Linked DNA regions of Struthio camelus. The protein of the gene in region 1 interacts with the protein of each later gene in a pairwise test. Links are inferred from orthologs where the notes say so. Each region holds a gene or a part of one and is shown in the gene's direction. Other genes may lie near its edges. The genes, in order: WDR6, PTPN3 and G2E3.

What was found.
Region 2: the proteins of WDR6 (region 1) and PTPN3 interact in binary tests that used the Homo sapiens proteins (3 or more experiments, as listed by UniProt). The two-hybrid records come from large-scale screens. The link is inferred for Struthio camelus from reciprocal best matches to the Homo sapiens genes WDR6 and PTPN3.
Region 3: the proteins of WDR6 (region 1) and G2E3 interact in a two-hybrid assay, tested with the Homo sapiens proteins (2 studies listed by BioGRID and IntAct). The two-hybrid records come from large-scale screens. The link is inferred for Struthio camelus from reciprocal best matches to the Homo sapiens genes WDR6 and G2E3.

Annotation. Positions count from the first base shown.
Region 1 is NC_090955.1:10,157,734-10,168,565, reverse strand, and holds the start of WDR6 (tRNA (34-2'-O)-methyltransferase regulator WDR6), read left to right. Parts: upstream 1-6,601; 5' UTR 6,602-6,624; coding exon 6,625-6,691; intron 6,692-6,757; coding exon 6,758-9,164; intron 9,165-9,365; coding exon 9,366-9,455; intron 9,456-9,637; coding exon 9,638-9,754; intron 9,755-9,895; coding exon 9,896-10,014; intron 10,015-10,124; coding exon 10,125-10,627; 3' UTR 10,628-10,832. Other genes in the region: P4HTM (transmembrane prolyl 4-hydroxylase), read left to right, coding at 1,659-1,821, 3,457-3,642, 4,159-4,249, 4,814-4,937, 6,130-6,365. UniProt on the Homo sapiens protein: Together with methyltransferase FTSJ1, methylates the 2'-O-ribose of nucleotides at position 34 of the tRNA anticodon loop of substrate tRNAs. Required for the correct positioning of the substrate tRNA for methylation.
Region 2 is NC_090943.1:70,021,987-70,032,124, reverse strand, and holds the start of PTPN3 (tyrosine-protein phosphatase non-receptor type 3), read left to right. Parts: upstream 1-5,475; 5' UTR 5,476-5,491; coding exon 5,492-5,537; intron 5,538-5,584; exon of another isoform or gene 5,585-5,739; intron 5,740-10,138.
Region 3 is NC_090946.1:53,054,091-53,064,147, forward strand, and holds the start of G2E3 (G2/M phase-specific E3 ubiquitin-protein ligase), read left to right. Parts: upstream 1-6,001; 5' UTR 6,002-6,611; intron 6,612-8,898; exon of another isoform or gene 8,899-8,902; 5' UTR 8,903-8,920; coding exon 8,921-8,957; intron 8,958-9,479; coding exon 9,480-9,577; intron 9,578-10,057. UniProt on the Homo sapiens protein: E3 ubiquitin-protein ligase which accepts ubiquitin from an E2 ubiquitin-conjugating enzyme in the form of a thioester and then directly transfers the ubiquitin to targeted substrates. Essential in early embryonic development to prevent apoptotic death.

The DNA of each region.
Region 1 (10,832 bases):
ATGTGGTCTTGTTGATCAGCTTTTGGTGCTGCCCTCCCTCTCTGCCGCTGCAGAAACTGTGTCCCAAGCGGACGCTTCCGCTCCTCCTTCCGCTGGTCTCCCAAGGGCTCCCGCTGGCCTGGACGTGCGCTCTAACCTCTGCTGCTCTAATTAGAGTGTCCTCAATTAAGCGACTCTCCATTTCCTAATCAAATTAAGTGAACACACAGGCTGTGCACACACTCTTCCAGCGGCCCGGCGTGGAGAGCTGCCTGAGAGGAGCTGCTTTGGAGTCAAAGCAGTACCCATGTGAATGCCTAAATATCCGGAGGGCACCCGATGTCTCGCTCCTCCGAGTTGATGGCGTTCTTGGCAGGGATAGGAGCGGATGACTGAGTTGTCAGTGGCTTTTCCACCATTCTGGACATTAACAAATGAAAAGTCCTGTTGAAGTGCTCTTGGCAGGACCTTGCTTCCAGAGTGCTGCTTCCCTCCATTGTTACTTTGGTTCATGACACCGAGTGGCCAGGTCACAACCTGGATGTGGCACTACGTCATCAAAGACCATGGGGAGTAAGGGGAAGTGGGGACAGGGAGATGTGAGCAGGGAGCTAGAAATAATAACGGTGAATAATTTGGTCATGAGTGCCGATACCTGGGGAAGTGTCCTAGGCTGACCTCGGCGACTGCTCTTTCCTCCCTCCTGCCTGAGGGTGCTCTGTGCCCAGGAAGCAGCCCTGGCATCGCAGCAGCAGTGTATTTACTGCCAGAGCGAGCTCCACTCGCAGTCTGGGGAGTTGCTGCCTGGGCACTGGGTCCTGCAGGCGCTTTGTTCTTCCAGTCTGGAGTTAAACATGTTGTGAGGTGTCGATGTGTGCTCGCTGCTGGGCTGCCCAGTGCAGCGCTCTGCCTGCTCTGGTCTCGGGGATCTGGTCCCCAATGACAGACTTTCCTTCTTCTCCAGAACGGGGAAAGAGCAAAGGGTGAGGATTTCTCTGAAGCTGACAGAGGCAAAAATCCATCCCTTGCCAAGTACAGTTCAGTGCAAACAAGAAATACCCGTTCTAGCAAAAGCCCCTTTTTACCTCTCACTTTTCTGTTACTCTTATTTATGCCGGATCATTCTCTGTTGTATTTCTCTCTCATATTTTTTAATTATACAAATGCAGAACCTCCTGCTTGTTGATTTGGGTTTGCTTTTTTTAGAATAACCCTAAAAGGTCTTGCAGAAAATGTGGACAGAGGTGTCCCACTCTACTTAGATACTTAAAAAGGCATGTTTAAAAGTAACAAGACCCTCTGAGAAGTCAGCATACTCAGATATTTAGCTACAACGTTGCATGTGTTAGAACTGTAGTAGTTATTTCTCTTTTCAGATGGATTGGTTTGTGTTTTAGGAGCTTTAGAAAGCTAAAAATTGTATTTTCTCTGTCCTAATGCTGAGTGTCCCCTGCAGCTGAAGGCTCACTTCTGCAGGTTGCTGTATGCCCTCCACTCACCTAAAGGCATTGCTGGGGTCTGTACTCTTGTGCCTACAGTGGTGGGCACTTACGGGTGCTTGTTTGAGGAAGGCAATTTCAGCAGTGCCCTCAGCTGATGACTCTGAGTGCCGGACACGAAAAACCATTACCTATGGGCAGCTGCACAAGAGCCAGCCCGCTTTTGTTCCCTTCCTGTAGGTGTGCTGAGTTTGGAGGAGTTCAAACAATTGAACATCCGTGATTTCCACAAGTACATGGGAAGCCAGAAAGTGAAGATGAGTGACTTGGTGCGGAACAGCCAGCACACCTGGCTGTACCAGGGCGAGGGGGCGCACCAGGTCATGCGAGGCATACGGCAAAGGTAAGGGCTCCGGCCAAGCGGCCGAGGGGCAGGAGGGCTGGTGCAGGCACAAAGGCCACCTGTGCTGGGAGATGTAGTGGGAGACTTGTTAATATTTACATTTCCTAATTGCGTGAAAGCCTTTGGAGTATAAAGAGCACTGAGCGCAGGCATGAAATGGGGAGAGGAGGTTCTCATTAGAACAAGAATTTGTATTGTCCCATGGAAAAGGGGGGAAAAAATCAAACCTTTCAACATCTCCATTCACTTTTGGGAACAGCCTACTAAAACCAAGAAGACTTGGCATTATTTGATGCAATTCATTCCAATTAGTAAAAAAGCTTACTGGGAGAAACTGTTCATTTCCAATGCTGTCTGGGTGCCAGTAGTTACTGTCATTTGCTTTAGCTACTCATGCATTTCACTGAAGTCTGTCTTAGCTGTTCAGAACTGACTTTTTAACAAGCATGATTTTATCTCAAGTAAGCTGAGTTAGTGTAATCCTCTGAGCACACGTCTAACAGGGCGCCTCACAGCAGATGGGAGAGCCTTTCATCTTTCCCTTCATCTTGGATTTGGTTATTGGGAAGAGTTGAAAACCAGCACCCAGGCCAAATCGTTTAGCTGTGGTGAGTTTCAGATAATTGGCTGGGGACTCTCTTGTTCTTGTGGTGCTGGTCCTCGCCCAGGACATGGGTGGGTAAAAATCTGTCCCGAGGTTCGAAAATGGCTCTTGGCCGCTCCTTTTCTTCAGTGCATTCCAGAGGGAGAACGGGGTCACACGTTGCCTTGATTAGAGCAGAGACAGTGGGTGCCACCGGCTCTGTGCCAGCTAGCCAGGGCCCACAAGCATCAGCATGTTGCTTTTACGCTCTTTGGTTTGTCACTGCTAGAACGCCTCTGTGGAAGTGGAAACTTGATGCTGAAGGAGGCTCTTAAAGTCCTCCATGGGACCATGCGGTGCCTGGATGGGCTCCGCCACCCTGATTCAGTGCTGCACCCGCCTTGTGCCTGTCCCCAGGGCTTCAGCTGTCTGGATTCTCAGAGCTCTAAGTGTTCTTTGGCAGGTCTCGAGAGGTACCTGCTTGCCTTGGGGATGATCTCAGATGTAGCAGCGGAAAAATCCCAGAGCAGGAGGGCTCCCATCTCCTTGATCACTTCCCATGCCCCTCTGCCCTGGGGGGAGGCTGTTGAAACGGCAACAGGGAAAGGTGAGTTAGGTGACAAGAATATTCCTAGAGCTAGTCTCTCCTTCACTCTCAGCAGGAGCCCTTTGCTTTGCTAACTGTCCCCGAGGTCTGTAGGTGGTGTGCAGGAGTCCTGAGAAGCAATGAGATGGCACATGAAGGCTCCAGGGACACACACAGAAGGGATCTTTCTGAGCAAGCAGCCTTCCTGAGAGCAGTCCTGCTGGAGATGCACCCTTCGTTTTTGTTTTTTATTAACCTTGACGAGGAGTTTCTGAGCTGATGCTGATGGTCCAACAGATCTGTAAGGACCTAGTTATCTCCTGGCATGCTTGCTGCAGCCCATCCGTCTGTCCGGTCTGTTGGGGAAGGGGGTTATCTTTCTCTGGATTTGTTCGGTGCTTGGGAGTAGAGGCTGACCAGGGTAACAGTGCTTTCTCCTCACCTGTTCTACTCTCCTCTTCCCCAGGGTAATGCGCCTGACTCGCTTGCCCCCAGAGATTGTGGAGCACAGCGAGCCCCTCCAGGTTGTGCGGTATGACCAAGGAGGGCACTACCATGCCCACATGGACAGTGGCCCTGTGTTCCCCGAGACTGCCTGCAGCCACACCAAACTGGTCGCCAATGAAAGTGCTCCCTTTGAGACCTCGTGCCGGTAAGTCCTGCCTTGAAACCTTGGGGTTGTGCTGCATGCCTGGCCGGGGCGTTGCAGCGGTCGTTCGGAAGAAAGTTTTTTATTAACTTATCTGGAACACACTAACAGAAAGGTGTGGAGAGCCGGTTCACCTCACCTTATGCGGGGGACTTAGTGCTCAGGTTGCAGGCTCAGAAACCGGCTCTGGAGATTGCTGGCTTAAATGGGTGTGAAGGGAGAAGTGAGCGAATCCTGCGGGTCTGCAGGCCAGTGAGAAGAGCCAAGCACGCTGGTTCTGCCAAGCTGCTGGGCTGTCCCCACCAGAGGCCAGAATTGCACTGTCAGCATTGCGAGTGGAGATTTTCTTTGTTGTCCTTGTCTTGGCATTGGAGAAAAGCTGATGTAAACCATGTGTCTTGTGATGTCTGGGAGTTACCACTGTATGTATGATGGAGGGGCAGGATATGGACGGTTGCCACACATCTCCTGTTGTTCCAGTGGTGTCCCCTGATAGCCACTCCGTGCTCTCTCTTACAGCTACGTGACAGTGCTGTTCTACCTGAACAATGTGACTGGGGGAGGCGAAACAGTCTTTCCTATAGCTGATAACAGGACATACGAAGAAATGGTAAATGACTCTCCTACTTGTTATCCCTGGGGACTTCACTGTTTCCTGACTTTGAGCGCTTCTCTAAATCTCTTTGTTCACTGTGGCTGCAAAAAGGGTTTGGAGGGTGAGGTTGGCAGACGCTAGCCTTTTCAGCTAGAACATAGGAAAGCTGTGCTCTGCGTACTGTCTTTCGCTCAGAGACCAAGGGAAGATGTGCAGGGCTTTGACAACTGCAGCTTTCACTGCTCAGAGATGTGTGAGAAGCCCTTGCTGCCATAATGCAGCTCCTGCTTGCTTGTATCTGGGTAGGTTTTCTCAGGCTAAGTCTTGGCCAGCATATTGTGCTCCTGCCAAACCATGATTTAAGGAAAGGGGAGCTGCTCAGAACCAGTCATGGGCTTCCAGGGGGCTGAAATTGGCTGCTCCAGATGGGTTGTGAAAGCCCCGTCCTGCCCAGTGCCTAGAGCTGTTCCCACGGAGCGTTCAGGCAGAGGGCAGGATGACGACTGGCAGTGGAGGCAGTACAGTCTGCGCACTTTCTTCTAGCCCTGTTTACCATCCCTTCTCTGTGTTTTTCGTCAGTCTCTGATCCAGAATGATGTTGACCTGCGAGATACTCGGAAAAATTGTGATAAGGGCAATTTGCGAGTGAAACCTCAGCAAGGCACTGCTGTCTTCTGGTACAACTACTTGTCAGATGGAGAAGGTACCATCCCATTTCAGGACTTGGCTCTTGGGCGGGGTAGGACTGCATGGGGTGACAGCCATCTTTTATGGGTTTTGCTGTGGCTGGGTGCTCAGAGGAGAGCCCCCCCCAAGGGGGTGGTAGCTGCCTTCCAGTGGGAACTTTTGAGTCTACTTGTCACCAGCTGGGTAGGATCTTCCTGGCTCTGAAAGGCCTTTGTTTACAGGCAGTAGGTCAGTAGCTCCTGATGGCTTTGGGGGACAGGACTAGTTAGCAAACAAAGACCGTGGCTGTTACCAGCCATCGCCAGCTGCCTTTCTTCCTGCTGTGTGAGCTGAAACTCCTGCTGGAACTTGGTCCGCAATTCAGAATGTTTCAGTGATGTGGTGTTGCCCGAAGGAGTGGGGAGGGGAGGTAGACAAAGGCACGGCCATAAGCTCTGTAACCCATATGGGCATGGTCCGCCCCGCGCGAGGCTCTGCTGCGCTTGGGGTTTGCTCCTGCTGTATAGCTTAGCTGCAGCCTGATGATGTTCAAAGGGTGGCTGTTTTTCTCACAAAGTTCAGTGCAATTTTTTCTTGTCCCTGACATTCAGTCAGGCTGGGGGATAAAGTTGGATCTTCCAGGCTGTTGGTGAGTATGACTCCAGAGCGTTTCAGTGACAGAAATTGAGCCTTGGTGGGGAGAAGGCAAGTGGTATCTCACTTCTCTTGGGAGCGGCCTCTGTTTCCATCTCTAACAGAAAATCCACAGATGAAATCACAAGGCCAATGTTTGGGCTGTTGGATAACGATGTCAGGACCATCACTGTCCTGTAAGAGCCCTGTTGCTGTATTTTTATGAGCAAATTGTTCCTAAACAGAAGAAGGCTGCTGATGTGAGTCTGACACAGAGAAAATCCATAGGACCTCTATAAATAGATCAGCTGGAGCTGCTGAAATGTGGTGTCTAATATGGCCTTGAGCTTTTGACTTCCCCAGAGGCCTTCTAGTGGCAGCACCCATGTCTTCCATCCCAGCCTCGGCTGTTGGGAAGAGCTGAGAAAAACAGCAGCTGTGATACAAAACGTCAGCCCCTGGTGCTGAGTGGAGACACGAAGCAACCGGCAGTTGCTCATGCGCCGGGAGCCTGCCCTGGGCCGCTCCTTTCTGCTGGGATTTGGTAGCATTAAGGCTGCTCCTTGCGGCCCTGTGATACCGCTGTGTGCTCACAGGCTGGGTGGGGGAGCTGGACGACTTTGCGCTGCACGGAGGCTGCCTCGTCACCCAAGGAACCAAGTGGATCGCCAACAACTGGATCAACGTCGACCCCAACCGGCGGCGGCAGCTGCGGTTCGAGCAGGAGATGGCGCGCTATGCCGGAGCCGGGGCTGGGGCCGGAGCTGGGGCCGGGGCCCCGGGCGAGTGGACGGTGGATAAAGCCTACAGCGGCGTGCACGTGGAGCTGTAGGGTTGGGGGGGGGGAGCGGGGGGGGGCAGCGGCTCTGCGCGCGGTGGCGCGCACGTGGCTTTTTCCCGCGCTGGGCGGGGGAGGGCGGGGCCGCGGGGCGCGCCAATAAAGCGTGGAGACACGGCCGCCGCCTCTGCGTGCTGCGGGGGCGGGGCGCGGCGCGGCCAATGAGCGGCGAGCGCTTCATCAGCGTGCGCGGGGCGCGGCCAATGGGCGGCGAGCGCTGCCGGGCGGGCGCGGCGGCGGCGGCGGCGGCGGGATGGAGTCGGTAGCGCTGGTGGCGCCGGTGACGGCGCTGGAGTTCGTGGGGGACGTGCTGCTGGCGGGTGAGCGGCGGGCGGGCGAGGTGGCGGGGCCGGGGCCGGGCTGGGGCTGACGCGCTGTCCCGGCAGGCACGGGCCCGGAGGTGGCGGCGTTCCGGCTGAGCGGCGGCGGCGGCGCGGCGGCGGGGCGGCGGAGCGTGCTGCAGCAGGCGAGCGTGCAGGGGCTGCGGGCGGAGCCGGGCGGCGGCGGCGGCGGCGGCGGGGCGGTGCGGGTGGCGGCGTTCGGCGGGCGCTGGCTGGCCGTGCTGGCGGTGCGGCGCGGCGGCGGCGGCGCGGGGGGGGCGCTGGCGGCGGCGGGCGGCGGGGCGGCGCGGGAGGTGGGGGCGCGGGTGTGGGAGGCGCGGTGGGCGGCGGGCGGGCGGCTGGCGCTGGCGCTGGGCGGCGGCGCCGTGGCGCTGTACGAGTGGCGCGGCGGCGGGAGCTGGCTGCGGCGGGCGCGGTGCGGCGGCGCCGGGGCGCTGCGCTGCGCCGCGCTGGCCGGGGCGGCGGCGGGCTGGGCGCGCCTGGCGCTGGCGGCCGGCACGGCGGCGGGCGCCGTGGTGGTGTGGCGGGCGGCGGCGGCGGCGGCGCCGCGGCGGCGGCTGCGGGGTCACCGCGGCGCCGTGCTGGCGCTCAGCTACGCGGCGCCGCGCGGGCTGCTGGCCTCCGCCTCCGAGGACCGCAGCGTGCGGCTCTGGGCCGTGGGCGAGCTGGGCGGCGACGGCGCCGCCGCCTGCCTGCTCGTGTGCTACGGGCACGGGGCGCGCGTGGGCGCCGTGGGGCTGCGCGGCCCGCGGCCCGTGAGCGCCGGCGAGGACGGCGCCTGCCTCGAGTGGGGCGGCGGCGGCGGCGTGCGGCGGGCGCGGCGCGGGCACCGCGGGGCCCTGCGCGCCCTGGCCGTGCGCCCGGCCGGCGGCTACCTGGCCACGGGCGGCACCGACGGCGGCGTCAGGCTCTGGCGGCCCCGCGAGGCGGCGGCGGCGGCGGCGGTGGCGCTGGGGGCGCCGGGGCGGCCGCGGGCCGTGCGGCTGGCGGGGCCGCGGCGGGTGCTGGCGCTGGACGAGGCGGGCGGGCTGGCGGCCTACGAGGCGGCGGAGGGGCGCTGGGCGCCGGTGCTGGACGCCGGCTTCGCCGCCGGGCCCCGCGGGGTGCTGGCGGCCGTCCCGCTGCCCGGCCGGGCCGACGCGCTCTGCGCCCTGGGCGACGGCGACGGGCGCCTGGCCGTCTTCGCCCTGGACCTCCCGGACCTGGTGACCCGCGCCAGGCTCTTCGAGGGGGCCGTGCGCGGGCTGGGCTGGGCCGCCCGCCCCGGGCTGCCCCCCGACGCCGCTGCCTTGCTGGCCTCCGGCCCCCACGGAGAGATGCTCTGGCTGGACGTCGCCTGCCGCCCCGGGCGGCCGCCCGCCCTGCGCCTCAGGGGACGCTACCTGCTGCCCCCCTGCAAGCAGCGCTGGCACACCTGCGCCGCCTTCCCGCCCCAGGGCGGCCTCCTGGTGTGCGGCGACCGCCGCGGCTCCCTCCTCCTCTTCGCCTGCAGCCGCCCCGCGGGGCCGGCGGCCGAGAGCCCCGGCTCTGCCCACGCGCCTTGCCCGGTCGGCGAGGACTCCGGGAGCGAGTCGGAGCCCTCGCTCTTGGCGCGAAAAGAGGCTCTTCCCCTCGAGAGCCCGCTGTCCGTCCTCTTCGGGCTCCACGGGAAGACGGGGGTCACCTCGGTGACCTGCCACGGCGGCTACGTTTACAGCACGGGCCGGGACGGCTGCTACCGCCAGCTCCGCCTGCGGGCCCGGCAGCTCGAGGTGCTGCGGAAGCACAGGCCCTGCAAGGGGCTGCAGTGGCTCGAGGAGCTGCGCTTCGCCCCCAGCGGGGACCTGCTCGTGCTGGGCTTCCACGCCGACAGCTTTGTGGTGTGGAGCACCAGGACCGGCGAGAACCTCCACTGCGTCCCCTGCGGAGGGGGACACCGCTCCTGGAGCTACAGCGGCGGCCCCTCGGCCGAGGCCTTCGCTTACGTCAAGCAGGGGGACGTGATGCTCTACCGCAGCGCGGCTGAGCCCTGCGAGCAGCGGGTGCTCCTGGCGTCCCTGCACGGGCGGGAGATCGCGTGCGTGCGGCGCCTGGGGGCCGTGCGGGCGCCTGGCCGCGCCGCCGTTGACGTCTTCGTCACCGGCAGCGAGGACACCACGGCCTGCGTCCTCACGCTCAGCGAGCGCTCCCGCGCCGCCGTGCCCCTCGCCACGCTCGACGACCACATCTCCAGCGTGAGAGCGCTGGCGCTGGCCGGCCCCGCGCAGCCCGGCGACGCCGACTTCTCCACCCTGCTCTTCTCTGCCGGGGGCCGGGCGCAGATCGAGTGCTACCGGCTGCTCTTAACCGGGGACGCGGCGTCCGAGAGCACCGTGGCCTGCGAAGTCACCCACCTCGCCTCCCACCGCCTGGACGAGCACTGGGACCGGATGAAGAATAGGCACAAGCTCGTCAAGATGGACCCGGAGACCAGGTGACGCTCGGTGGCAGCCTGAGGCTGGCTCGGCCGCGGTGGCGGTCCCGGGACCTGCGCTGGCCAGGCCCGCTCGCTGCGTTAGCGAACGGCTCAGCCCTTCCTCCTGCCGCCTCCGAGCGCTCGGCGCCGCATCCCGCGCCGGCCGCGGGCTTCCTCTCGTCACCCGGGCAGCGAGCAAGCGTCGTGCGTTTGCCGCAGGTACATGTCCCTCGCGGTCGTGCCCGGGACCGAGCGCCTGCCGACACCCTGCAAGTTCCTGGCTGCCGCCTGCAGCGACGGGTCTGTCCGGTGAGGAGCCGCCCTGGGCCGCCGGCGCTGGGGCACGAGCAGCCTCAGCGGAGGGGGTGGTGGCCCCGGGCTCCGAGGCAGGAGCGGGAGGGCGCGCGTAGGACGCGGACACCCCGGCAGGGAGCTGCGGGGAGGGAGGGAGCCCCTTCTCCCCGAGCTGACCGCCCTCTGCTCCCGCGCAGGGTCTTCGGGCTGCTGGAGGCCGCCCGGAAGCTGGTGCTCGTGGCGGAGTCGTTTCACCACCAGCGCTGCGTGCTCAAGGTGGAGACCTTCCTGCACGGGCAGGCGGGAGGCGCGAGGTGAGCCCTGAGCGGCGCCGCCGGCGGAAGCGGGCGCTCGGCCTCGCGGAGGTGGGGGGGTCCGCGTGACGGGGACGGGAGGCGGCAGGGAGCAGCTCGGGCCCCCGGGCGCGCGCAGCTCCCGTGACGCCGCTCTCCTAGGAGGCGCTTCCTGTGCAGCGCGGCCACCGACGGGAGCGTCGCCTTCTGGGACATCACCGTCCCCATCGCCGAGGCCGCGGACGCCCTGCACCGAGCGGAGGGAGCGATGCAGCCCCTGGGTGGGTGTCTCCGCCGCCCCCTGCCCCGTCCCGAGGGCGGCTGCGAGGCGGCGGCAGCTCCTCCGCCGTCTCGAGCGTTGCTGCTCTCCTGACGCAGCCTCTCCTCCCAGCCCTGGGCGCCCCGCTGCTCACCGTCGTGGCGCACAGCTGCGGCGTGAACAGCCTCCACGCGCGGGAGACGCCGGACGGCCGGTACCTGGTGGCCAGCGGCAGCGACGACGGCTCCATCCACGTGTGCCGGGTGGAGGTGACCCGGGGCGAGGAGGCGGCCGCGCCGGGGGCCTGCCTGCGCCTCCTGGAGCGGCTCTCGCGGCCCGGCGCCCACGCCGCCCACGTCACGGGCATCCGGGTGCTGCGGCCGGACCTGGTGCTCTCCGCCTCGGTGGACCAGCGCTTGACGCTGTGGCAGCTGGGCCCGGGCGGCCTGGAGGCGCTGAGCACCGCCTTCTTCCACGTGCCCGACCTGGCGGAGCTGGACTGCTGGGAGGCGCCGGCGGAGCCAGGCGGGGAGCCGCACTACTACTGCGTGCTCTGCGGGCAGGGCCTGGAGCTGGTGCGCTGCGCGGCCCCGACCGCCCGCCCCGAGCCCCCGCCGCCCCAAGCACCCCGGTAAAGGTCGGGGGGGGGGAGGAGGCGCACGGTGATCCCCGCTCCCCGTGTTGCTGCGGCGGGCAGGGCGGGTGCCACGAGCGCTACGTGGCGGCCTGGCAGCCTGTGGGGGGGGGTGCGGGAAGCTGGCTCTTCCCGTCCACCTGAACCCTGGTCCCAGCCTGGGCATCCCCCTTGGAGAGATGACTTTTGGGGACAGCACTGCCACC
Region 2 (10,138 bases), on another chromosome or scaffold:
TTTTTTTTTTTTTTTAAACAGTCCCACTTAGTTAGCTATACTTGGTTTCTAAACAGATATATCTTGCTTGGGAGCAATGTTAAGTTTTTTGTGTCAATCGAATAACATGACTCAATGGAATATTAAGCTGGATATATTCAGACTAGAACTAGCGACTAGAATAGCTTGCTGTTAATTATGGTAGATCCTAGATTCTGAATTCATGAATGATGCAGATAATCTTTCTTTTAAAAAAAAAAAAATCCTGTCAAGGGAAAACCTTGGCTGAACAGTTTTGTGACCTTCTTACATAGCGAATCAAGCTTACTTATATTATCAGTTGTTCTTAGTTGTGAATGTACTGACTTCTGTTAAACATTTTTGATGGATAACATATCCAACAGCATCTATTGAGATTACTTTATGAATGGAACTGAAGTCTTAACAAGTGAGACCTTAAAATCTAATATACTGCAGTCTAAAGCTAGCCATATGATCAGATATTTTGAAGAGAGATTTTGTTAAAATTGTCAATTACAAACCCTGTTACTTGTTAACTTGTGTATGTTATGGCATTTGGCTTATTTAAAAAGAGTGACATGTTTTATGCTAGGTTGTTCTGCATATGTTTTTTTAGTTGCCTAGAAAATAAATCTTTCCAAGCATAAGAAAACTTTTAAAAATACTTCTCTTTTGGGTGTCAAAGATGGAAGCAAAAGACAAATGTATGTATTAAGCTGGGATGAAAGAGAGAAATCAGCATATTGTTTAGTATACTAAGTGCCCATTTGTTTACCGAAGGCAAAAGTAATTTTTGTTTTGTCCTGTGTGCTTCCCTGCTCCTTCCATCTCCTACCCACTTTTCCTCTTCCCCCAAACATTTGTAAACAGAAAATTAACTTAAAATGTCAAATTCAGTTTCTTCTCTTCCATTTCCTAGTTTAGTAAAATAACTTCTAGGACAAAGATAGCATGCCGATCATTATGACCTTTTCAGTACAAAAGTAGATTTTGGGCCATATGTTAAGAAGCTCTGAAAAACTTGTTAACAGTACTAGGTCAATTGTATGCATATTAATGTTTTTAAATTGTCAGATATATACCTAGAATTGTGTAACAGCCTTTCCTGGTTATATATGGCTCACATCCTCCATTGAAGCTCATTTGCTCTTCTTTCTGGCATTGAGGAGAAAAACTAGCTTTACAACAATTTGCTGTACATTACAAAGTAAAGTTGAACTCTTAGCACGAGGAGGGGAGGGGAAAGAAAAAGAAAGCCTGTTTTACTGGCTCGATCAGATGGCAACTTCAAGGTGATGAGAGGATGTGCTTCTCGCCAGCAGATAAGGCCGGACAGTGTGATGAGTCTAGGTTTGTTGTTCTCCTTCTTTTCCATCCATTGAGATCCCTTTTGGCAATCTGATGCCTGACGAATAAGCAAGGTGAAAGTTTCAGTTTCTTCAGTACATTTAATTTTAATGTGCTGTCAGGTGACCCGCAACAACTTTGGATCATTCGTTAACCTCCTGGATCGATTTTGTTGTCTTAAGAGCATGTTTGTTGTTCGTTCCTCCTCCCTTACTCTCTAAATCTGTTTGTTAGTTTCAGCAAGTTTTATAAAAACTTAGATCTAGATCTAAAGACAGTAAGCTCACTATGAATTAAATGAAAAATTGTATAGGAAAGAAAATAGTGTAGAAGAGGCTCTGGATTGGAGCCTCAGTCAGGAAAGGTCTGTAGTTTGAGGCTCAGCAGCTACTCAATTTGCCTGCAGGGTAATGACTGAGCAGGTGCCTGACTTGAACTCAGCCACTACCAGTGTTGCCTCACTCTACCTACCCTGATGTATGGCTGTGGCGGGGGGCGGGTACTGAAACGTTTTGGAGAGTCAAAGGCTTGGCATCAGGGAGCAATAGAGAAGAGCAGCTCAGGTTTGGAGAGATGGCAGCTTAGGACTGTAAAGCAAAAACCTGCAGGAAAGCCAGCTTTGCTAGTTGTTGTTCAGAGACCAATAAGTTTCCATTGTGTTCACCACCTTTCTTTCCTGAATTTCTTTTCAGGAGTAATGATCTTTGTTCTATTCAGTGTTGCACCTAGCCATGTTTGTGAAGATTGATGCATATTTTTGTTCTCTTTCAAATTTCATCGGTTTTAGAATTGAAGATCTACTTTAGCTTGGTTTGTTGTTAAAAGAGGTTAAAAATGTGTCTTGCTGGTAGTAATATATACCTGGTAACGCATGAATAGGCTAATTTTTGAATGATTTGAGGTGTGTGGTCATCCCTGGAACGCAGTTATAGCTGTGGGTTTATTATACAAAGCTATAGCTTGAGGCAGTGACATGAAGGCTCAAAATCCAAATTCTGATCTCATTCTAGCTGAGCAAATGAGAAACTAGATACCTGACTTAAAGGTCATGCTAGTAGGCCCCTAAGCACAGTGAGTGCCTTGGCCAGCTGAGGTTTATATAAGTGCTGCACGAAGGAGAATGAGCAGACTAGAAAATGCCCAAAAAGGGCATTTAAAGATATACGCCATGTGCTGAGTTTTTGATTCTGCTGATTTCTGGAACTTGCACGTTTGCTTATTATGCATATAAAATAATTAACCAATTATGAAATGCATGATAGTCACAAAATGGCAGGATACCAGTGAAGGATGTAGCATGTAACTGATTTAAATATAAAGGAAAGTTGTAGACTGAAATATCTGGATCCCAGTTATTGGACAGTTATGCTGTGCGCTTTTTAGGGAGCGGTGCAGAGTTATGCTTGCTACTTACCGGACTGCCCTGAATAAAGAAACTTGCATGACTAATCCATTGCGAAGTTGTGCATTGCACAAAGCTAAGTGAGTCTAGATGCTGGAAGAGATGGGATTAGTAGTATGTGATCACCCTGGTGTGCCTTTAGCATTCGGTAGGACAGAGTGACCAGTAGCAGAGGCAGACACTGAAAGAGGTCAGTAATACGTTACTAAAATATTCAGTAATATCCAAATAATTTGAGCAGTTAGAGGTATTGTAGTTGATGTAAAGTATATATAGTAAAATGTAGTTACGTGAAATAAATGTTCTGCAGACATAAGCTTCTAATAGTTGTACTTGCTGCGTTGTTGATGTTAAGATATGACAATCTTCTAGCGGTGGATAATTCTTGCAATACAAAAATTTCAGTTTTCACTTCATACTTAGAGTATGAGTTATTTGACAGCGTGATAATTAGGATAGCATATTGGATTTGAGGGTCTGTTTCTTGGTGTACTGAACTACCGATGTACTCCTCTTAATGTGTTTGGAATGTTTTTCACAGATTTCTTGAAAAACAATTAAGTACTGGAATAGGTTGCCCAGAGGTTTGTTGGAGTCTCCCTCGGTGGAAATGCTCAAGATTTGGCTTGATGGGACCCTGGGTAACCTAATTTAAAGCCCTACTTTCAACAAAGGTTGGATCAGGTAGTTTCCAGAATTCCCTTCCAGCCTAGACTTTTTTTATGATTCTGTGATTTAATTCATGCATAGCCATGTTTTTCTATAGTATTGGTGATAGTTTAATCCTATAACAATAACATTAATCTTGTTAAAATAGCCCAGATCTTGTTCTGCTGAAAATAAACGTGGGAAATAAGTTAGTCCACTAGTGAAAATGTTTACCACTGCTCAGTGGTACTGTTACGATAGGACTTGACGCTGTTCTGTATTGGAGAGACGGCCGTAATGCTAGTATTAGTAATTATTTTTATGCCTATGAGAGCAGAGTCCAAAGTGAAGAAAGAGCTCTCAGTCAGGTTGCCTCATAGGGGATTTTGCTTGATTAAACACTGCTTTATCAGGTTGTTATTCAAAACCGTGTTTCAAAGATAGCCAGAAAACAGTTGACCAACTGTACCAACTACTTTTTTTCTTCATTGTTTATATGTAAATCAAAGGTTGAATGCCTAACTGAAGAGGATTTTATGGCTGAGTACATGGCTTTATGTTGCAAAATGAACTGAGCGTGTTAAGACAAACTTATGAATCGCATATATATACTTTCAAGACGATTTGAAGTGATCGAAGCCTGATTTGTTTTATGACTTTATTATTATTAACCAGGTTTCTTCAAAATGGCAACCTTTAGTGGTTGGACTTCCTACTGCAAATCTTTTCTTGCTTTTGTGAGACAGTTCATTGCAGAAAACATTCAAAAATGAATGTAAGCTTGTAACATCCCTTGTAACGGTATGCTACCTAGCATTTCAAATTTTGCCAAGGAAATTCTGTGGTGTAGTTGCTCAGAAAATAATGCTAAGGTCTGTGTTGGCATGGTGAGATCTGTAATCAATGAAATGTGTATAATGCATCAGAAAACATCAAACTTTAAACCCACTCTTTAGAGACTGGGACTTCAATAGCTCTTAGTGGAGATGACAGAGTCCTGTAAGCCTCCTTATGGGAAAATATGCTTAAAAACACAAATATTCAAAATCTTGTGTACTAATGTGCTTACTTGCATATCAACTGAAGTGTAGGGACTAGTTGGTTGCATTATGATTTGCACTGAGTTTGGCTAGCAACTTTCTGGCTACTATTGCATATGCTCAACTTTGCAGCCCAAGCCTAATACTTTATAAGCATATTTTTTTACAGTGACTCCTTCTCCGTTACGTCTGAATTTTGCTGTTCTCTGGCTCTTTCTTTTTTCTGGGGGATGGGGGAAGGGAAGGGGAGAGAGGTAACCAACACAGTTGTTCTAGCTTGTTAAGAGTCATTTAGTAGGGAACAATTGTTAACGTGATCAGTGCTCCTCTAAAGTAAAAGCCTTCTGTTTTTTACCTGCTATATTATTGCTATAGATTAGGGGTTTTTTTTTTCTTTTTATCATTTCATATCTTCTTTCTTTGCATCTAGATCAAGTATACTTTTATTTTTCCCCCTAGCACCTAACCATTTTAGGACCTGTCACTTAAGTTGGGAATAAGGTGCTTCCATTCTGTTTGCCTGTGAGAAGAGATGTTTAATATAGATTTTTTTTTCCCTATTTTTCCCTGACTTTCTGACATAATACAGTCATCACAGACCATATGCAAACATATAGCACTGCTTCCAGCACTGATATTGCTGTCATCTTTCTGTATTGATAGTTAGATTATAATTAACTCTTGTCTGCACAATTAGAAATATAATAATTGAGGTGACAGCTTTCCTTGGGGGAGAATGGGGGAGGACAAAAGATCCCCAAACAGGCTAGCCCTAAAATAAAGGAAGCCTCTGTTCTAAATGTTTATTATTGCCATTTAGTCCATTTTCTAACAAGCAGGGAATGCACAGGATTCATATCAGATTTCTTTTCAGCAATAAGACAGAGCAAACTTTCTAAATTAGTATATATCTCAGGTGTTTTGGAAACACCACCTTTGGTCATTGTTTGTGAACGTGCTCCTCGTTCCCTAGTATTGAATTGTTACTATTTGGTTAGTGAGACTTTTTTTGGCTCTCCACATTCAATTTCAGTGCAGCAGGAGGATGCAGTAGATGCACTTCTGTTTTCTGTTTGATGGCATAGATGTTCTGCTCAATGGTATGAAAGGGTCGGCCAGGAGTTCCTTGAACTGCTCACTTCAGAGTGAAGCTGCTGGGGCCTAGCACAGCCAGACTCATTGCTAGATTCAGTGTTAAAACCTAGTTTGTGGTTCAGCTTGCAGAGTAAGAAAATTGCTGGCGTTGGAAGCAAATGGTGCTCTGAGGTTTGGATTTCTGGAAACAGTTATCCGAGGAAAGTGGTGAGCCGAAACAAACTTTTCAAAAATTCAGAACGCATGTTTTACCAACAGAAATAAGCAGTTCTCTGCTTTTTGCTCCTAAGTAATTGTCATCCTCAATGGTTTCTCAGTTGACTGTAATATGACAAGGTTAATTTTGTCTTTTCTTCCTTTAATTTATCTATCAATGTTATTCCAAAAGATATGTAATTCTTTTGCTTGTAAATATTTTTAATCCCTTCTTTACTGCCCTTGGAACAGGAGTTGTATTTTAACACTGAATTCCTGAGACTTGGTATCAGTGGACTGATGAAGAGAGATCTGATATAACCTGTCTAGACTCATAAATTTAGGAAAACAAGCTACAATCTCCTAGGGAATTGATTTTTTCCTTAAGCTGCTTCACAGCAATTGATGGTCTATATTTAATGAAAGATATATTTTTAAGTGGTGCTGGTAGGGATCTGTACACATAAGTATGTTGCCCTTCCTAAATCCTTTCTCTCTGGCTCTGATCTCCTAGTTCATTAGGAAAAAACTTTCATCATCGTTTCAACAATAGCAGATAACCACTCTCTGCTATCTTATCTAATCTATAATTTCTTCCTCCTCCACTTCTGCATTGCTTTCATATTCTTGTTACTATTTACTTTGTTCCAACCCATTGCATTATGCTTTTACTCATAGTTTGTTTCATGACTGATCTGCTTATTCTCTTTGGAACCCCTTATACTCTTCAAGTCCTATGTTAATCATTGATTCAATTAGTCCTATCAATTCTGATTTATTTTTTCATCTGAACGGTGTCTGATCTAGTGCTTTCCAAGATCGATGGAAAGAAAAGTTCTTTTTTTCATGAATGCGGTAAGAACTAGACAAGGAGGCATTCTCTCTTTCTGTTTTTTCCCCGTGATTTGGAACTGCCTTGTCAGCCAGTGCTGCACTGTGAAGTTGTCATAACCTTCCTTTTCGAACGTGTTGCTGTGGTTCTTGTTGTTTCGTGGCTGCTTTTAGTTTGCAAACTCAGGATAGGCAGCCATCCTGTAACTGCATTCAATCCCTAAAAAACCTCTGCTACCACTTACTCTGACTAGTTTTGCATATGGCTTTTATTTTTAAAAGATTCCTGTTCCTGTCATATTGCTTCAAAAAGGGCTGTAGCTGCTTCCTGAATTTAACGCTGATGAAGGTTACATACCTTACATATCTGAAGTTTGGCTGGATTTAACAGTTAATAAATCTCTGTTACATGCTAAAGGTGTTCTCTCCCCTCTTCATGTTTTTTTTGAGAGACTAACTTGCTTAGGTGAAATTCTAGATTTTATTAGTAGTAGAAAAGTGTACATGGCAGAGGCCAGAGTTTGTACTTTGGTTCCAAAGATCAGCTGCAGACTGAGCGTGTTCATCATATGTAAATATTGATGTCACATTCAGAAAGTTCTTGTGGATGAGCAGACCACTTACATGGTCACAACCTGATACATTTTGCACTAGAAAAACAATTAAGATTAAATAAACTGAGCTGAGTGATTTTTACAGAGGTGTAACATAGGGTAGGTAATCTAGAATAAAGGTCATTATCTTTGTTCCTAATCTCAGTATAAGCTTAAATATTAGGACTCTATGTAAAGGTTTAGCTAATAGCTTTTAAAATAAAGTAGCTAATCTAAATCAGTTACCAAAGCAAAGTAAGCTTGACAATATTGCTTGAAGTATTGATTTCAACTTAATTTCTCCTTTAAAACTCTTATGACAATCTGATGTTTTCAGGTAAACTGGCTGTTTACCTGAACATTGATTTGGCAAAATACTTGCTTTTGGTTGATTGACTTGTCCTCAGCAGAATCAGAACATAGTACTGTGTTCTCAACCAGGTTTTGTTTTGATGCCTTTCCTTTAAAATACACTTCTAGTTTATTACATGGTTGTGAAAGAAACGCTAAGGAAAGAAAACAATAATTCTGGACTTTTGTCCTCTTTTTCAGTCTGGCTGTACTGTGATTATAGTTCTGATTTGATAAGGTGCTATAGTGCACTCCCTCTTCTCTCCCAGCCCTTCCAAATTATGTTTTGAGGAATTTGCCTTTTGGGAAGTGTTACTTGTTACCGCTGTCCTGTGAAGTGCTTAATGGTGAGGGAACCTGGAGAGATTTGTTGGATCTCACCACTATAAACAACCTCTCCTTTTTGCTCCTGTTTTAGTATAAAGCAGCAAAGTTGGCACTGTGCCTGCATTCCTCTGTAATCAGTTGCCACAGCATGCTAAGATTGCTTTGAGGGAAGTAGATAAATATTTTACCTGCCAGCCGGGAATACAAAAGCTGAACTAGGAAGGATTGGGGACTGTAAGATCTACTTGGGAAAACTTGATTTTTGTGTGGGTGCGTGTGTGTGTATGTTAAAAATGCTTGGCACCATTTCACATATGAACTGATTTGAGACTTAAACCAACCTCTGGCTCCAAAACTCAACAATATCAGCAGTTCAGTAGGTAATAGACTTGTGTTCTAAAACAAGGAAGTTGTTTATTTTTGTGAATTAAATCAGTCTTGCTGTGCAAGGGAATATAACAAGCTTATATTTATAAGGTTCATGAGACTTGTTACTTCAAGGTAGCAACAGGAAGCTTTATTATAAGTGCTCATTAGTTGGGCAGCTGCATTAAAAGCAAATGAACAACAACAACAACAAAACCCTACGTGGGCTTGAATTATTTGTGAAGGCACTATTTATTGTTGGGATAGTTGGGGAAAAACAAGGGGTGGGGGTTGTCTCAGTCAAGAGAGTGAGTAGATCTTTACCAAGTCGCCTTTCCAAAGTCATGCTCTACCCTGCCCCAGTTTACTCCCCTTAACTTCACTGTCAAGAATTGTCTGGCCCCATCCTGCTCTCTGTGATTACAGGCCTTCTCCCTTCTAACTTCTACCCTGTATCACCACTGCTGACCTCAGTACTGATTACCCAATGCCTTCCTGTTGATTTGGGGTTGGACATCAGCTCTCAGAGCAGCACCTGCTTCTCTGCAGGTGATTTGTAGTAACTGCAGCATGCAGACTTACCTCTTTGCCAGTGCCATGAATTAAAAGTTTGTACAACTAAGCAAAGTAACAGTTTAGTCGCTTCATGGTAGAAGGTTTGGCATATTTCTGTATGACGTATGTCTGGCCCAGTATTATCACCTGTCCTATGATGATGAAGGGCAGCAAGGCATTTTGCTTGTATCAAAGGAGGTGTTCTCAATGTGTCCAGGTGCTCCTGAGCAGCTAGCTGCTGCTGTTGAGTTGTCCAGCCAGCCAGCACCTGCTGGCCAGCTAGGCAGCTGAGTGGTGTTGTATGCTGACCAAGTGACTGAATTTTGATTGAGGGCTAAATGAATTGGTTTTTTGAAAGGAAGAAACTGACCAAAAGATTGCTGCTGGTCCATACGCTGCAGAGGGAAGAAACAGTGTCTATTTTAGATTAAAGTTCTGCAATGGGCTTTCCTTGAGGTACCTTATGCTGCAGTTGCTAGGTGCGTGTGAATTTTGTAGTGAGAGGAGAAAAATTCCCTTACAGGGATATAAAGATATAAATGTTTGGATTTCTTTGGTCTAAAGCATACACTGTTTAAATGCTGATGAAAAACAGAAAGCATGGATTGTTTGCAAGATAGGATGTGTTCTGTCATGCATTTACTGTACTTTTTTCTTCACTGTGTGTAGGAATTGCTTTCTTTTAAAATGCAGACACCCTAATATGTGCAGGGATTAGAAAATTTGCTAGCCATTTTGGGTGGTGGTGCTATTCCTTTTTTTGTTGTTTTTTCTTATTCTCTTAATGCAAGAAGGACTGGCATGAGAGCACTATGCAGTTAGCGCTGCTGCAGGTCCTAACAGTCGATTTGATCTTGTTAGAACATAATAAATTGATGTGATCCTAGGTGTGTTGAAGTCTGTGCTACAAACCAAAAAAAAAAAAAGTGTACTTTGGTAAGCTTAGAATATAACTTTATCAGCTAATCATAAATAGGGAGGGAGATGAGATGATGATACAGATGAAGGAGCAGAAAACTGTTTTTCCGTGAGGATTGTTTACAAAGCGCAGATGTTCTTATGACTGGCTTTTTGTGTTCTCTGTTTGCTTTTTCTTAAAGACTTGCAAAACTCTTATGCTGTAAACTTTCTTGAAGTTCTTCTCCCACTGTCCCTTAATGTGGCAAATAAAATTCAAATGTATACATCTTGAGTTTTGCTAATCTGAACGTGTAAACTCACAAGTTATGGTCAAAGTAGTAAGAGGTGCTTTAATTTCATCATATTTTCATCATATCATAGCTTCTGGCTATGAGTCATGAGACTTTTGTGACATTTTCAAGCTCTTTCCTGTAGTTTGAGAGGTAGAACTTTGTGTGATTACTTCAAATAAAATACTGAGTTTTGAG
Region 3 (10,057 bases), on another chromosome or scaffold:
GACTCTATTCTGAGTAATGTATCAGAACAAAATTACTAGAATTTCACTTATGATGACACTTGAGCTGAAAATAATCCTGGTATAAGATGACGTTTACAGATCCTGACAGAAAAATCTTTGCGCTTGTAAACGTATCACATTTTGCTTGTAACTACTGGGATGTCACGATTGTTGATTTCCAAGTTGTTTTTCAGAACACTATATAACAATATTTTTACTTAATATTGGAATAAAAAATGTAAGTATGGTAGTTCACCTAATTTCTTTATGAGGCGATTTATCTATTTATAATTATAATTATTATTAAAAATTACTAAAAAGGATGAAACCAGCAGAATTTAAATTACCCTATGAAAGGACAGGTTTGAAGAGAATCATAACCTTCTTGTTTTTAACAGCAACTTACATTGCTGAATAGAGAATGTGAGCATTGATACCAGATGTTGTAAGTCTGATAAAGAATTCCATTAAAATATTGTTATTCTGCATCAAATTGGAAAAAATATTTTAGATGAGGTGAAAAAATTCATAGAATTTTAAAGCTTAAGGAAGAACAGATAGTGCAATTATAACAAGATACAGGTGAGCTACTTAAATTATCATATTCCACTTAACTCAAACAGTGATGATAATCATTTTGCAACTCTGTATTATATACAGATCTAAAAAGAATAATTTAGAAAATCATTAACTCCATCTAGTGGTGATTGTAATTTTCACTCGCAACTATGCTCCTGTAAGCAACTATATTCCAAGCTTTGATTCTAATTTGTTACACTTCAAGAAATAACAAGAGATAACAACAGCAATTCATTTGATTGATGTAAGAAATTTTTTTTGAGGTTTTAATAGTATTGAATTAAATCAGTTTCTAAAACTATGTTTAAGAGTTTAAATTTTATTCTAAGGGAACTCAAGTCGATAATAATGCCCAGAGCTCTTAAAAAATGGTGCTCAAAATATCTTGCAAAGAAAATCAATATCATTATTCATTCCCTACAGACTGGGAAACTAAGACAGAGGAAAATTAAACAATTTTGGCCAGTGCCAGAATGAGGAAAAGAACCGAGATCTGCCAAGTTCCTTAGCTCAGTGGTCTGCCCACAGAGAACCAGGACTAGAGAGGCAGAATCTTTCTCCTTGGAGGTCTTTGGCTCAAATCAAGAACAAACTGGTAGTGACTGGCACTCCGTAAAGACGTATGAAGTTTTTGTAACTTTGAGGATAGAGCCATATCGCTGCATCTGAGCTATTACAAGTAATCACATTTGCTGTCTGCTGGGACAATATAAAGTCTCATTAGACTGCTGAAACCTGATCTGCTTACCCGGTCCCTACTAGTGCACAGTTCAATCCAAGTGGCAGCATGGCATGAAGAAATTTACTGTGCCACTGCCCAATGTTTTACCCTATTCTGCAGGAAAAAAATAAAAAGAGGTCCACTCTCCAGGGCAATAACTGCCATTCTTCAAAAACGTTTGATCCAAATGAGGTCATTTGGGATATTCTTGTTTCTATGACAGCTAGAATGTAAGTCTTGCTTGTGAAGTTTTGGAGACTTGGGAAGCATGTACTGCTGCTGCATGTTTATTCAGAGTGGATTATCCCACCAAAAAGGAAAATGAAGTCCAGAATGATCAGAATCAAAGGAAATGGAGATCAACAGTGATTTTAAGACTGTGAAGGTTTGAGTCTCTTGGGGAATGTGGACATCAAACAAGGTTTACTTTTTACGTCTGTTTTCACAACAGTAATAGTGTTCAGGTGATGTGATGAACCTCAGGAAGCAGACCCAATATTCACCTCCAGATATGCCATGACGGGATAACAAAAATGTCCCAAATACTGTTCTATTCTATGTAAAGAAAAATACAAAACGCTTCCCCGTCAGTAATTTGGAAAGCCATCTGTAAATTGTGGACTGCTCCATAGCTAAGAGAAGGTTATTAATTACTGATAGCAATAAACATCACTCCATAACCAGGATAATATGGGTTCAACTCTAGCTTGATCTGACTCATCACTACCCTATTAGTCATAATCTGTACAGCAACTAAAATTTAGGACACGGAGCAAAGGATTACAACTGTACGGTGCTTTCAGAGCTTACAGTCTTACAGGTTAATCTGTCTAAAACGTAGATCTTGAAACTATGCACTGGAAAAGTTATCCAGAGATTATTTTGAGTGAGTAAACTTGGCAAACAAAGTGCCCTTCTAAAAAAGGTATAAATAGTACACATCAATAGGACGCTCTTTTACTCTCTCCTGGTTTTAATCAACCACAGTTGATTCACAGAATTTATACACCCAAGCCCTCTCCTGCTCAAATCTGCCTTCCTTTGACAAGAGTACGAATGAAAATTCACTGGATTTCTTAGCTACTAGCTCTTTCTCCCAAGCTATTCCATGTGTTCAGTACATTTTTTCTATTAGAACAAAGCAGTATTCCACATGCTGTCCTTACCAATATCTGTGGATGAATATAGCATTATTAAATAATTATCTAGACAACTGAGAGTGACTTGGTAGATAAACAGTTTAAAAAAATGGAATTTCTCAGAGTTTCACAGGGTCTTAATCTCTGGGACATGACTGATGGCGGAAAAATAAAGCAGAAAAGTCCCTCTTTCCCAGTTTTGAAGTGACAGGATGACTTCAGGTCTTCATGCACGACTCAACCGCAACTTAGCAAGAGATTAATCATTGCAGATACATGAAAGCCTCTGTACTATCTAGCTGGTCAATTGATGGGAGTAGTTTGATATGAGCAGTTTGATATGAGTAGGAGTTCCAGCTATACTTCTTTTCTGACTCTTCATAAATAAGATGTAGATCAATATAGTAATTAGTTTAACATGCAGGAATGTTACACATGAAATGCAGAACTTAATACAAATACACAGTTTTATTTTTCACAGTAAGTGATGTAACAAACAGTTGTAAGAAATGCAGCTTTATTTAATGTACTACAAAAGCCAGCGTCAGGTACTATTTGCCTTTGGATTTACACCCCAAAGCTGGCCCTCAGCATGCAATTCTAACATTGTGGTCTTACAGCTATATATTAAAACCTTCTTCTACTATTACACTCATATCTTGGAAAGAGGAAAAACGCCTAAACAGAAGAACAGGCAGTGTTTTCTTGTGCTTTAAAAAACAGGATGTATCTTACTGTCTGAACAGATACTGCCACTGGTTGTTTGCATCTTAATCAAATACTTCACTAAGTAGCATCACGCACAATCTGCAGTTAAGCACTCTACAAAATACTTTCTACATGGCAAGTATCACTGACATTTAAGTATATCTTTCAAACATAAAACAAAACATAAACTATTCAAGCAAAACAAAACATTTACACCTACAGGCTAGAGTTTGTTTAATTAGATTGGGCGATGATAAGTAAATACGTGATAAGTAAATATGTGATCATGGAAGTTTTTCTGCCTTTTATTTACTGGAAGTAAAGGAGAAGCTTCTTAAGTTTCTCTAATTAGCCTAAAAATCTCAATAAATAAGTTTAAAAGCTATGGGTATCTGACCTATAACTCTTTGGTTGTGACACGTAGAAAAGTAATTTTAAGTATTTTCTCAAGTTCAGAAAGGATAAGAGACAGAATACTTGTAATCACTTCCACTTCAATACTGTGGTTATTCCCCTAGGTCCATCTATTAGATGCAATTGGCTTGCCCTTAGTGGAGTGCTGATCATTACTCACTGTTCAGATATACTAAAAGAGAAGGACCATTTAAACTTTTAGCTCAGGAAGGAAAAATTATAAGCAACTGAGCTTATGTCCTGTTTGAAAGGCCAAGGAATGGCACAAAGTGGTATTGCATTTATATAAACACAATAAACTCATGCCCCACAATGGAACACAGTAATGCAGGCTGTATCTGAGCTTTGCTGGGTGAAGAAACCACACAGTCTCACAGCAGGAGAAATATCACTCCCAGCCACTGCTGCTCACATACCTGCTTATTATCTGAGCAACCCAATACCAAGAGACCTAAAATTGCTGTTTTGTGAGAAAAATCCTGCTGCCAAGAGGTGGTATGTTTGAATTTAAAAGACACGGGGAACAATCAGAAGAGATTTTAGACCAAAACATTCAAACAAGGACCAGAGGAGATAATAGGAGAGGACTAGGAAAAAACTTGTGTTTTGTGGTAAATAGCAAGCTAATACTTTTCAAAGGGACATCTGAAAACAAAGGAACTAAAAAAGGCGATGGTAAAAAAAAAATGTTAAGTTAAACTGTCCACCTTTCTGTTTTTCCTACAAACAATTAAAGAATAAGGCTCTGATTAGTTATTCTTTAACTTTTATGAATATATAGCCATGGAAATCAGGTATAAAAGGCTGCCTGCATAACTAGGCCCTAAAAACTTAGGAAGCCAAGCCATCACTGAGCAGCTCCATACATGATTTGGAATTCCAGACAGCCTACCATACTTTGGGTGCTTAGAGGAGGATGCTATCACTTGTCAGATTTGTATATAAGTACAGGCTAACGTTTGAGGCTCCCTCATAAAAATCCGTAAAAAACAGCAAGGCATGCAGATACATTCACACGTTAATTCTTCCTTTGGAGCTTTTTCTCCCTTCTGGGTAGGGTTACCTGAATAACTGATAGAGGGTGAAAGAAAAAAATGTTTAGGTTTTTCCTTGCTGAAATGAAAATCAAGAAATGAAAAACAAACAGAACAGAAATTATCAGCATACAGTAAAAGAGTTAAGATATACATTACAAAAGGTGGAGTTAGTATAATGACAAAATCCTTTCTTTATTCAGCAGACCGTTAGTTAAGACATTCATCCAGAATGTGGAGACGGGTTTAAGGCCCAACTCTCAGAACACAGCCTTAAAGTTGTTCTTTCACACTGATACAATGCCACCTCCTTCAGTAGAACAGTCAACAAGTCAGAAAGAGGGTAGCCAAGAGTGATACTCTCATCTTCAAAATCTAGATTGAAATCCACATAGCAGACTGAATTTATTCTGGTTTGTTCATACAGTAGATAGGTGTTAGCTTATCGGATAAAACAGATCACCCATCATATGGAAGCACATTTAGGAAAACCGATACTAATTTAAAAAAAAAATTTTTTAGCAAGTTATTAATTACCTATCTCTACTTCTTGCCCTGTTTTGCAAGGTGTCTTTCTTCTTTTTCAGAATTACACTTTGTAAGGATATGTGGAAGGATACGTCAGGATAATCTGTTTTTTGAGGCTCTCTGGTTAACAGCTATTCAGCATACAAGACTTGGACAAGAGACAGAAGTAATAAATTAACCCCCCCGGACACAGAAACCGGAAGGGACAGGAGACAACGGAAGCAATACCAAGAAACAGATCCCGCAGGCCACTGATGACTGAAGGAACCAGTCAAAGCCTTGAGGAGGTTCAGCCAGAACTATGTACTGGTTGATAAGAAGGGGGAAACAAGATTATCAAAAGCCTCACGGCAAGAACAAACTTACTATGTGTGAGGGTGCTTGTGTGACTGTGCAAAGCGTATTCTGGAGTATTTGGGGGGACGCCAAAAACGGGGAAAGGGTGGTTATCAAGGCAGATTAGGACCAAGCACAGGAAAATGGAGCAGAAGGGGGATAACAGGGAGCAGCTGTGTGTAAACAAGCTGCTGCTCAGCACGCTTGTCTGTCCAAACCCTGCGCCTGATCCTATTCTTATTAAACTCTATGCCCAGCTATTTTGCTGAGTGAGGGACGGTAAAACCCTCCTGCCTGGCCACCGAGGCTGGCAGGGTTTTGGCCGTGCCCGGCGGCAGGCAGCCCTTCCGCCACGTCCCCGCCGGCCGCTGACGGCCCGCGCGCCACTGCCACTGCCACGGAAGCGGGCGCGGCCCGCCCCGCCCCGCCTCCCGGCGGCGGGAAGGGAAAGGAAGGGAAGGGAAAGGAAGGGAAGGGGCGGCCCTCCCTACCACCGCCCGCCCGCCCGCCGCCATCGCGCCCCGGCAGCGACGCCCGCGGCCGGGCCGGGGGCAGGAGCCAGCGGCGCCTGTGCGCGCGCCGCCAGTCAGCCCCAGTCAAGTGCCGGTCGCCGAGATCGCTAGGCTCCTCCCGCCGAAGTGGCGTGCCCGACAGAAGTGGCTGAGTGCCGATGTGACGGATCTGGGGGGCGGGGCGGGGCGGGGCGGGCGGGTTCGCCGCTTCCGGGACGCTGGCGGATGTTGGGGTTTGAATTGTGTGTCGGTTAGCGCGGGGTCGGCGGCGGTGCTGTCGGGGCGGCTGCCGGGTGAGTAACGCCTTAGCTGGGCTGAGGCTCTGCCCTGCTGCCTCTAGCCTAAGGTCTCTTGGGGTGGCCGAGCCGAGGGTAGCGACGCCTTGGAAAGGGCTAGGAGAGCTAGGCGGGGCGTTGTGGCGAGGGACGGGGTAATTTAAACCGCCCTGGCAGCGGGGCGGGAGCCTCTGCCCCGCGAGGGGAGACCGCGCAGCAGCCTCCCAGGCTGTGCTCCGGGCAGCCAGCGATGCCTGGGTCCCGCCGCTCCTCTCTGGGCAGGCGATAGCGGAATAACTGCGAGAAAATCTTCCCGCTCTCCCTGTCACGCCAGTCGGAGGCTGAAGCCTTTGGAGACTCGGGCAGTAAGTGACTTTATGAATCGTAGTCTGTCGGGGTTGTTCTTCCTCCAAGCGTGGAGGGAGCTTTCCTGCTCCAGTCCGTGCGCTGGGTAAAGGGCTGCTTTCAGGACGTAGCATTGTTGTAAACAAACGGCGAGATGTACTGGAGACCCAGTCGTATGTAAATTTAGGACACATCGTTAACTGATCGTATCTGGGGAGGTTCCATGTAGGCTTTGTTCATGTGGTATGGAAAAGGTAGACCTGAAATCTTGCCTCTTACTTTTGTGCTTTTTCCATCCCCCAATTAAAAACACGGGGGGAAAAAAGAAAGCTTGCATTCTGGAGCAGTAAAGAAACAGTTCTAGTAGCACTTAGCAAAACTTCGTGCCACTCTGACGAATTGGCTTAGCTTATTTAGGCATGGTAGATAAGATTTATTTACACTTTAGTTCTATAAACACTGGGTGATAACGTGTTCCTGTCTTGCAAATAGACTAATATAGAATTGCTTTGTTTCTGTAGAAAGCGCTGTAGGACTTATGCATGGAGCCTCTACGGTTGTTCTCATTGGCTCTTTAACTTGTAAATGTGAACTCCAGGACTCATTATCCTGGACGAGTTTGAGAAAGGTGGTAGGATTTTTTGGGGGTGGGTAGCATTTTTCTTCTCTTTTGCTGGAGCTAGCAGAGGGGGGAAGGGAGTTATGTTGTTTCCAGGCAAATACGTGCTTTCTCCATGTTATAGGGCTTTTTTCAGTACTCACTAAACTGAGAAACCAGTCTGTGTTTATACAGATGTTTATATTCTGTTGCATTACCATAGTAGACTGAGGGCTGTGACCTTTTTTGGGAAATCCCGAAAAGAAAGGAAAAGATATAATAAGATATTCTTGTCTTTTCCTCTATGTCCCTGAGTTGATTTTTTTTTTTTAATGTAGAAAAGCGGAAGTTCATATCTGGGAGAACTGGATTCTCATTTCATTATTTGTCTGACAGTGCAATATGTGTTCTTAAGGGTCTCTTCACTTGAATTGGTTGCAGCGTTGTTTGTTTTGTTGCTTTTAGAGTGTCTTCTGGCAAAAATCTTCTGTTTATACAACTACTCTGGTTTTCTTTAAAGAAGTGCAGTTGCACAGAACAGTTGCCTTTTGCCTGAGAGTTCTGCCTCCTTTTTCTCCCCCCCTCTTCCTCACTCCTTGGCGCAACCTCTTTCCTAAAACTCTAATCAGATGGCTGCAATGCTGTATTTGCAGTAATTGGGATCAGCTTGAGAGCTGTTCCTAAAGCCATCTTTACCTGGCAGTCATCTAAGCTGTAAATACCAAAGCTCTGAAAGCAGGGAGTCTGAGACTTTCAGTTTGGAGGTTGAACTTGCTGCAATTGCCTCCCCTGCCCGCTTTGAGTTTTATCAAGGAAGTTGTTCACCTGCCTGCAAGGTCAAGCATGGATCTGCAGGAAGCGTTCCCATGACTCTTATCTTCCCAAGCTTTTGTAATGTTTTCTTCAGCTCCGAAGAGGAGGCACGCCAAAGATCTGCAGATATCTTCCTGGAAGAGCTCTGTTGCACTGTTGAAAGGATAATCATATTAGTGCTGTGGTGAAGACTTTTTTTTTTTTGAGGTGGACTAATGGTGTTATGGATCTAATTTTTAGGGTCATATGATGTTTGAAAGAAATGCAAGTTTGGCTCATGTTTCTAAACAGATTATTCTCCTCTTTAGAATATAAGGCGTATAGTTCTTAACAGTGCACGTTCCCTTGTGTTTCCCTGCCTTGTATTCTTCACAGCTTTTTTTGTAGACTTAGATCAGGTTTCTTTGAATAGGCTAGGATCCTGCATTTTCCCCAAAAAAGGGAGAAATTTTTATCTTCTCGTTAAGATACTCATGCTAATAAAATCTTTAATTTGAACAGAAGTCACTGCCTTGGTTGTACTTGGATCATTATTTTCAATGTTGAAAATAACTATAAATTCTTCTATTTTTCTTTTCGAAAGAACTAGCTGCTGTATTGGACTTTTATACATAAAATATCTTGCTGATAATTTGGGGAAATAAGAGAGAGAAGTTGTTGCATGTTCCATTGGTCTGGGTGTATTTCTTCTGAACATCTTCATCCAGCTTTCTGAACCTCTATCTTTCAGAAGAACAGATGAATTCTGATATTAGTCGTCTTGTTTCCATTTTAAAAATGTTGCTGAGTCTTGGGATTTTTTTGAATTCAACAGAAAGTAAATCTGGAAAGCAATGATTGGTGGTCATTCTCAATGCAGCAGACATATGTAACGTGCCATTTCTTTTTCATGATAGACAGCTAGAAGAATTCACTAGAATGAATGAAAACAGCCACTGTGACATTCAAAGCTCACGTAAGTAAGGTTTCTCTTGTGTTGATATACATCTTTAACACCATCTACAGCTCATTATTGGTCTCAAAGAATGAGTGAATTATCAAGAGTCAAATTGTGTTGGTACAACATGTCTCAGGGAATTAAAAAGAACTCTTGTCAATTTCCTTGGATTTGTTCATACAGACCTTTCTGCAGATGTTCTAAAAAAGTATCCTTGGGAATTCAGCTGCCAGGTTACACATAGCTGTGTGTGAGATTTGTCGTTCGAGACTTCTTCTTAGGTTGAAGCAGTATCTCTTTTCTCTCCACTACTATGACTGTTCTTGATATCAGAGGATTGAAAATACTTCTAGATTTAAAAAAGTTCTATATCTCTATTGAGATTTAAAGAGAAGATGAATACTGCGTGTCTGTAGAAGTAGGTTGGTGGGCTAGGAAGTGCAGAGATTAGTTGACACCAAACTTGTCTCAAATCCCTGAATGTTTTAAAAGCACGTAAGCATATGACAAAGCATCCTAAAACACAGTTCTGTATTTTAGCCTGTGTTCTCTGTGGACGGACAGATGACTGCCCTGAAAAGTATGGCGAAAAGAGAACCTATGTGGAATACAATCTCACTGTTCATTATTACTGTTTGGTATGTATTTGGTATTGATGTTGGAGCTCATCTGTTTTACCTGAGGAAAAAGTAAATGTAATGCTTATTAAGTAGAAATTACTTGTCCAAACTGGCTGTTGTTGGAAGTCTTGAACTTTCAGCTTTAACTTGTAGGCCAGAAGGCTTGTACGTGTCAGGTATAGCAAACTAAGTAAATAAACCCCAGCAAGCTTTTATTCAGAGCTAAATTCTGTTCCTCATTAATTTCAGTTAATTACTTAGGTAATACCCCAACCAATCACAACAATAAAGGTGTGTCTTAAAAGAAAGTGAACAATTTCGTATTTCAAAATTCCACCTCTAATGGAAAACCATAGAGAAAAGCTTTCATGTTTATTCATGTTTTATCATTGGTTCTTGTTTGGCGGTGAGGTATTCTGTGACATTACGGAGTACGCTGCAACACTAGAGAAACGATCCTACTTTTCAGTTTAGTGATATGACACCTACTGATAATTT